2 linked regions of the Callithrix jacchus genome follow. The protein of the gene in region 1 interacts with the protein of each later gene in a pairwise test. Links are inferred from orthologs where the notes say so. Each region holds a gene or a part of one and is shown in the gene's direction. Other genes may lie near its edges. The genes, in order: CASP10 and RIOK3.

Region 1 (4,321 bases):
TCTTGGGGTGTTGTTGGGATGGTGAAATGAGTAAAAATTTGTAAATACCCTATGGCACATGGTAGTTACAATAGAAGTGTGCAGTATTAGGCCAGGCACGATGGCTGACACCTGTAATCCCAGCACTTTGGGAGGCCGAGGCAGGTAGATCACAAGGTCAAGAGATTGAGACCATCCTGGCCAACATGGTGAAACCCTGACTCTACTAAAAAATACAAAAATTAGCTGGGTGTGATGGCACGCACCTGTAGTCTCAGCTGCTCAGGAGGCTGAGGCAGGAGAATCACTTGAACCCAGAGGCAGAGGTTGCAGTGAGTTGAGATCACACCCCAGTCTGGTGATAGAGCAAGACTCCATCTCAAAAAAAGAAAAAAAGAAAAAAAAGCAAGTGTTCAGTATTGTTTTATTAGAAATAATGTCTTCAAAGTCTCTTTTTTTCTGGTTTGAATGTGCTGTGAGAACATGCACTGTCAGTTTTGTCTACCATTAATTGGTTGAGTCTCTTGCAGATACCTCCAAATGGGCTTGTAATTCACCATCCCCACTTTTCTTTTTTTTCCCCTTTTCTTTTTATTTCTTAATTTCTCCCACAAAGACTGAAAGTGAATCCCCACTTTTCTTTTATCATTTAAAAATTTTATTTATTGGCTGAGTGTGGTGGCTCATGGCTGTAATCCCAGCACTTTGGGAGGCTGTAGTGGGTGGATCACGAGGTCAGGAGTTCGAGATCAGCCTGGCCAGCATGGTGAAACCCTATCTCTACTAAAATACAAAAAAATTAGCCTGGCATAGTGGCGTGTGCCTGTAATCCCAGCTACCTGGGAGGGTAAGGCAGGAGAATTGCTTGAACCCAGGAGGCAGAGGTTGCAGTGAGTGTAGATTGCACGATTGCACTCCAGCCCGGGTGACAGAGCAAGACTCAGTCTCAAAAAAAAAAAAAAATTATTTGTTTATTTGCATGTGGACTAAGGAAAGGGTTAACTTGACTTTATTTGAAAAGTTAAGTGTTTGGGGAAGGAGATGATTAGAAAAATAGATGCTTCCCATTTTTTTCTTTTCTTTTTTTTTTGTTTTGTTTTTATTCTTTTCCCACCAACTATAGATAGATTCCCTTTTTGACTTAACAAGAAAATGGAGATCCTAAGGAAAGCCTGGAGGACTTCATGGCTTCCGTGGGTTCATTTCTAGGAAGATTTCGCTTTACATGGGGAAACCCCAAGCTCTACAGTGAGAAAGTTGTAAATTAGCCTTTAGGAGACGCTGTTTGTCAGTTATCTTAAGCCTGGAAAAGGGGAGGGAAAAAGCCAAATAAGCAGTGACGACATTGGCAGGAAATCAGTATCAGGCTACCCAGCCCAGTAGGATCCAGTTTTCACTTCAACAGCCAGCAAGTCTTGAAGTCTCTTCCCGCGAAATTGGGAGCTTCCTTGGACCTTGGAGCACATAGAGGATTCTACTTTCTTTAAAATTTTGTTTTCAGGCAATTTCCCTGAGAATCGTTTACCTCCAGAGGATTGGTGGAGCCTGATCTGAAGGTATGTAATTAAATACCACAGAGTCTCATGCTTGGATCTTTTCCTTTGCTTCATGGCTTCATGTTGTAGAAACTTGCAAAAACTTGTCAGCAATGGTATTATTTCTGCTTAGATTTCTTTGCCATGCCTGGGAAAACAAAAGTTCAAAAATCCAGAAGCCTCCAACATAGCCTTTTACCGGCAGAAATATGTTAGTTCCCGGAGACAAAGTGTGGCAGACTCATTAAAACTAGAAATTGGAATTGTCAAGAAACCACAAGGCAAATGTAAGATGTGGTAGAATAGAAACAGGTCCAGGAAACCACTCATTTGACCTCAGGGCTAGCAGCAGGGAAGATCCCCTGGATCATCACATTTAAAATGACATTTTTTGTTTCTTTTTTTTGAGACAGAGTTTTGCTCTACCTCCCGGGTTCAAGTGATTCTCCTGCCTCAGCCTCCCAAGTAGCTGGGATTACAGGCATGCACTGCCATGCACCGCTAATTTTTGTATTTTTAGTAGCGACGAGGTTTCACTATGTTGATCAGGCTGGTCTTGAACTCCTGACCTCAGGTGATCTGCCCACCTCGGCCTCCCAAAGTGCTGGGATTACAGGCGTGAGCCACCATTTTTTGTTTCTTTTAACACTGAAATTAATGTGTATGTTCATGTATAAATAAAATTTGAGAAATTCAGTTGAAAGCCCAGGAGAAAATTTGTATTATCTCTAGTTATGCCATCTCGATATAACTACTCCTTATTATGGAGGTTTTGATTTTTGCTATGTGTTTCTTCCTTCTTTCCTTCATTTATTTATTTAATTGAGACGGAGTCTCGTTCTTTCACCAGGCTGGAGTACAGTGGCACAATCTTGGCTCACTGCAACTTCCGTCTCCCAGATTCAAGCAATCCTCTCACCTCAGCTTCCTAAATAGCTGGGACCACAGGCACCACCACACCTGGCTAATTTTTGTATTTTTTAAGAGACAGGGTTTCACCATGTTTCCCAGGCTTGTCCTAAACTCCTGGCCTCAAGTGATCCACCTGCCTTGGCCTCATGAAGTGCTCCTCTGATTATAATGAAATTTAGTACAGAGAATACAGTAGTTTATAAACTAGTCAGATGGAAACATTGACTCATGTAATTTTCAACTTCCTACATTGATTTGAGCAACTCTTGTCTAAAACCATTCTTTCCTTCTGAGGTCTAGCAGTTTTTTTGTTTGTTTGTTTGTTTGTTTGTTTTTTGAGACAGGGTCTCCCTTTGTCACCCAGGGTGGAGTGCAGTGGCATGATCATGGCTCACTGGACCCTCCACCCCCAGGGCTCAAATGATCCTTCTGCCTCAGCCTCCTGAGTAGTTGGGACCACAGGTGTGCACCACCATGCCTGGCTAATTTTTGTATTTATTGTAGAGACAGGGTTTTACCATGTTGCCCAGTCTGATCCCGAACTCCTGGCTGGGGTTATAGGTGTGAGCCACTGCACACTGCCTGTTCCTTCCTTTAGAAAGTAGTTTCCTGTTTCTAAAAATAGCGAAGTTCTGCATAATGACTATATACCTCAAGTGCTTATAGAATAAATAATATTACAATGAAAATGTTATCACTGCATTGCTCCTCTGATTATAATGAAGTTTAGTATAGAGGATACTGTAGTTTATAAACTTGTCAGATGGAAACATTTATTTACGTAATTTTTTTTTTTTTTTTTTTTTTTAGTAAAAACAAATGTATTAGATAAGTAAACAAAAGAATGGCTACTCCATAGACAGAGCAGCCGACCCATGAAATTTTTTTTTTTATTTTTTATTTTTTATTGGATTTTAGGTTTTGGGGTACATGAGCAGAGCATGCAAGAAAGTTGCATAGGAATACACATGGCAGTGTGCTTTTCTTTCCTTCTCCCCTTCACCCACATTTGGCATTTCTCCCCAGGCTATCCGTCCCCACCTCCCCCTCCCACTGGCCCTCCCCTTTTCCCCCCAATAGACCCCAGTGTTTAGTACTCCCCTTTCTGTGTCCATGTGTTCTCATTTTTCATCACCCGCCTATGAGTGAGAATATGCGGTGTTTCATTTTCTGTTCTTGTGTCAGTTTGCTGAGGATGACGTTCTCCAGATTCATCCATGTCCCTACAAACGACACGAACTCATCATTTCTGATTGCTGCATAATATTCCATGGTGTGTATGTGCCACATTTTTCCAATCCAGTCTATTATCAATGGGCATTTTGGTTGATTCCAGGTCTTTGCTATTGTAAACAGTGCTGCAATGAACATTCGTGTACATGTGTCCTTATAGTAGAACAATTTATAGCCTTTTGGATATATACCCAGTAATGGGATTACTGGATCAAATGGAATTTCTATTTCTAAGGCCTTGAGGAATCGCCACACTGTCTTCCACAATGGTTGAACTAATTTACACTCCCACCAACAGTGTAAAAGTGTTCCTTTTTCTCCACATCCTCTCCAGCATCTGTTGTCTCCAGATTTTTTAATGATCGCCATTCTAACTGGCGTGAGATGGTATCTCAATGTGGTTTTGATTTGCATCTCTCTGATGACCAGTGACGATGAGCATTTTTTCATATGATTGTTGGCCTCATATATGTCTTCTTTCGTAAAGTGTCTGTTCATATCCTTTGCCCACTTTTGAATGGGCTTGTTTGTTTTTTTCCTGTAAATCCGTTTGAGTTCTTTGTAAATTCTGGATATCAGCCCTTTGTCAGATGGGTAAACTGCAAAAATTTTTTCCCATTCTGTTGGTTGCCGATCCACTCTAGTGACTGTTTCTTTTGCCG
Region 2 (3,818 bases), on another chromosome or scaffold:
GAGGTTTCTTAGAACCAGGTGAAGGACTTTAACCTTTTGAGACTAAATGGGAGAGGAGTCGGCCGGGAGAATATGGTACAGAAGGAGGTGGGTAGTTTGATTCAGAGTCTGTCCTTTGGAAATACAGTTCCTTTCTTTCCCAGATTAAGATCCTATCAGATATCTAAAGGTAAATATTAATATTGTTTCTCATTCCATCCACCTTTTCATTCCCACTGCCACCATCAAGACTGAAGCTCACTACTGGGGGACTATTGCCAATAGCATCCTGAGTCGACCCCACACCTGTGGCCTCTCCCTGAGCCTTTCCATGCTGACAGTATAATTATTTTGATCTTCATGAAGTGCGCATTTGAGAGAGCCACACTCAGAAGCCCTCACAATTCCCCACCACCTCCAGCAGTTTGTCTAGGCTCTTCACAGATGCACCTCTGTCCCATCCTTTAGCTCCACTTTTTTCATTCTTTCTCCAGCCAAGCCTTAACTATAGTGTTTGTTGTTCATCAGACATGTCCTGTGGTTTCCTGCCTCTGCTTTTGTTCATGCTGTTCAAATCCTACCCATTGTCCTGTTTGTTTCAGATGGCACTTGTGCCATGAAGCCTTGCAGCCTTGCCTGACCTTTCCAGTGAAAAGGGAACTTTCCTATTCATGTACTTCTTTCATTCTCTGCTGCCACTTCTTGTAGACTCATGGGGCAGGAACCCTTTTACTCACATTTATGTCTGCTGGGAGTGAAAGAGTTATTTTTTTAAAAGCTGTTTTATTTATGTTTTTATTGAATTTTGCTCCTGAACATATCAGAGAGACTAGCGTATTTTCAAGTGTGTATGTCTTCATTGTATCTCAAGCTTGATTCCATAGTCATTAAGTAAAGAACATTATGTTACGGATGGTTGAAAATTGGTTGACAATTTATTTGTAAGTATGTTTTATTTAAAAAATCAAACCAAAACCTAAGGCTTTATTAAGATCCAAAACCTAACTTTAAAAAACCAGACTTGACACTGAGAGAAGGTAGATCTAATTTAGTGTTACAGAATCTTTATTTTGAAATTGTTGTTCTTGTGAGCTGGCAACTTATACTGACTTATTTTTTTTATTCCACTTAGCATGGAGGATGAAAAGGAAGATAGTAAAGTTATACCTACAGAATGTGCCATCAAGGTATTTAAAACAACCCTTAATGAGTTTAAGAATCGTGACAAATATATTAAAGATGATTTCAGGTTTAAAGATCGCTTCAGTAAACTAAATCCACGTAAGATCATCCGCATGTGGGCAGAAAAAGAAATGCACAATCTCACAAGGTAAAGAAAATACTGTGGTAGACATCATCTTGGGTAAATACCTTTTTGCATTAGGATAAAAAAATCCATGCTTGCTTCTAAATTCATTTATGGAAATAAAGGCCAGGTGTATAACCTGAATTCATCCTTTTAGGATGAAAAAGCCATTTTCTTTTTTCTTTCCTCAGTAAAACTTGAGGGAAATTGGGGTATTTTCTGCCTTAGACATTTTATCACGTATCTAAATGCCATTTTTAAATTGCTTTTATTAAGAAGTAAAACTTCCAGCATCCAATTAGGCTTTGTATTAAAAAAAGGCTTCTTTTTTGTTTTAGAAAATGTTTATTACATTTAGTTTAATTTTGTGGGAGTAAGTTCTTACCAATCAAATTACATTTTGTTTTAGTTTTTATACTTGTATCTGAATTTTCTAAGTAATTTATTTTCTGTCAGATAATTTATCAACCAAGAAATTCAGTAATAATCCTTCTCATTAAAAACTTTTCCATTATTTTAATCTTTTGAAAGCTTAATTTTAGTTTGTTCTTTTCTAAAGATATTTGCTTTCAAAAGTAATTACTTATATATATTAGTTACAAAATTCCTCTACTGAGAGTTCCTTACTAAAAAAGCCAGGCATGATATGCACATGTACTCCCAGCTACTTGGGAGGGTGAGATGGGAGGATTGCTTGAACCTAGGAGTTCAAAACCAGCCCAAGAAACATAATGAGACATTGTCTCAAAAAATAAAAATAAATAAATTCCAGGTAGAATCATTGTCTAGAAGGTCTTGCTGTTCTCCAATCTCTTTTCTATACTGCTGAGATTCCTGCCTTTCTTAAAATTCTTTAACAGTTTTCTGTAGTGGAGCTTGCCTATCTTTGTAGCCTCAGCCCACGTTGCCCTGCCTGCTACTCACAGACCCAGCTATGTTAATTGATATACATTCCCCAAATGGACTGTGCTCTTGAACACCTCCCTGCATTTCCTGGCACTGTCTTCATCTGGCTAATTCCTGTTCCCCATCTCTTCTTCGAATAAGCCATCCTTGGTGCGGTGCTCCTGTAGCTCCTACCCATACCTCTGCCAGTGCATATGTCACGCTGCATTGTATTTGTCTCTTTACTTGTCTGTCATTTCCATCAGTCCATGAGCTCCCTACAGGCAGAGGCTGTGTTTTATTGTCTTTGTATTCCCACACCACCAGGGTAGAACATAGTGCCAGCTCATTGCAGGCCCTGATTAGATATTTATTGAATAAATGACATATTTTCTCCTTCTGATCTGTATATTCTTAATCATTTCTTTCTGTATAGAATGCAGAGAGCTGGAATTCCTTGTCCAACAGTTGTACTACTCAAGAAACACATTTTAGTTATGTCTTTTATTGGCCATGATCAAGTTCCAGCTCCTAAATTAAAAGAAGTAAAGCTCAATAGTGAAGAAATGAAAGAAGCCTACTATCAAACTCTTCACGTAAGTTGTCCTTCTAAAAGCATTTACGCACTGCCTTTAAAAAATATTTCCTCTAAACTTTAAAAAAATGTCCTTAAAGAAGCCAGGCATGGTGGCTTGCGCCTGTAATCTAGAACTTTGGGAGGCCTAGGCGGGAGGATCACTCGAGCCCAGGAGTTTGAGATCAGTCTGGGCAACATGGCGAAACCCCTTCTCTACTAAAAATGCAGAAATAATAGCTGGTCGTGGTGGCATGCACTTGGGATTCCAGCTACTCATGAGGCTGAGGCAGGGGAATTGCTTGAACCAGGGAGGTGGAGGTTGCAGCAGTGAGCCGAGATCGTGCCACTGCACTCCAGCTTGGGCGACAAAGCGAGACTCTGTTTTAAAAAATTAAAAATTGGCTGTGCATGGTGGCACACACCTGTAGTCCCAGCTACTCAGGAGTCTAAGGTGGGAGGATCACTTGCACCCAGGAATTTAAGGCAGCAGTGAGCTATGATTGTGCCACTGCACTCCAGCTTGGGCGAGATATAGAGCAAGACCCTATCTCTTTAAAAAAACAAACCAAGTTCCTAAAATAGTGCTATTTCAAGGTGCTGTAACAAAAACAAGAAGTTCGTGAAGGAATGTTAACACTGAAGAGTTGTTTTTATATCAATATGTGTGTGTCTTAAATAATTTTAGAAAACTCACAGACTTAACCAGGGAAGTCTTTATTGCTAGGATTAGTGACATAGTACATGAAGCTATATTTCACAAAACTTCATTAAATAAAATTTGCTGTTACTACATTTAGCAGATAAAGTACCTCATTAGTTTGTGTGCTGTCTTGAATGTTATGGTTTTTTGTATTTGTTTTTGTTTTCAAATAAGAGGCAGGGTCTCACAATGTTGCCAAGATTGGTCTCGAACTCCTGGGCTCAAGCCTCCCAGAGTGCTAGGATTACTGGTGTGAGCCACTGCACTCGGCCATTGAATGTTAATAGCTTTAACAGAGAAGGAAAGGAAACAGGTTTGGTCTCATCATAAGAATGTGATGATGGAAACTGAAAATAGTAGGGAGTGCAGAT

What was found.
Region 2: the proteins of CASP10 (region 1) and RIOK3 interact in binary tests that used the Homo sapiens proteins (3 or more experiments, as listed by UniProt). The link is inferred for Callithrix jacchus from reciprocal best matches to the Homo sapiens genes CASP10 and RIOK3.

The regions. Positions count from the first base shown.
Region 1 is NC_133507.1:122,267,153-122,271,473, forward strand, and holds the start of CASP10 (caspase-10), read left to right. Parts: upstream 1-1,357; 5' UTR 1,358-1,535; intron 1,536-4,321. UniProt on the Homo sapiens protein: Involved in the activation cascade of caspases responsible for apoptosis execution. Recruited to both Fas- and TNFR-1 receptors in a FADD dependent manner. May participate in the granzyme B apoptotic pathways.
Region 2 is NC_133514.1:66,569,574-66,573,391, forward strand, and holds part of RIOK3 (serine/threonine-protein kinase RIO3), read left to right. Parts: intron 1-1,111; coding exon 1,112-1,309; intron 1,310-2,606; coding exon 2,607-2,766; intron 2,767-3,818.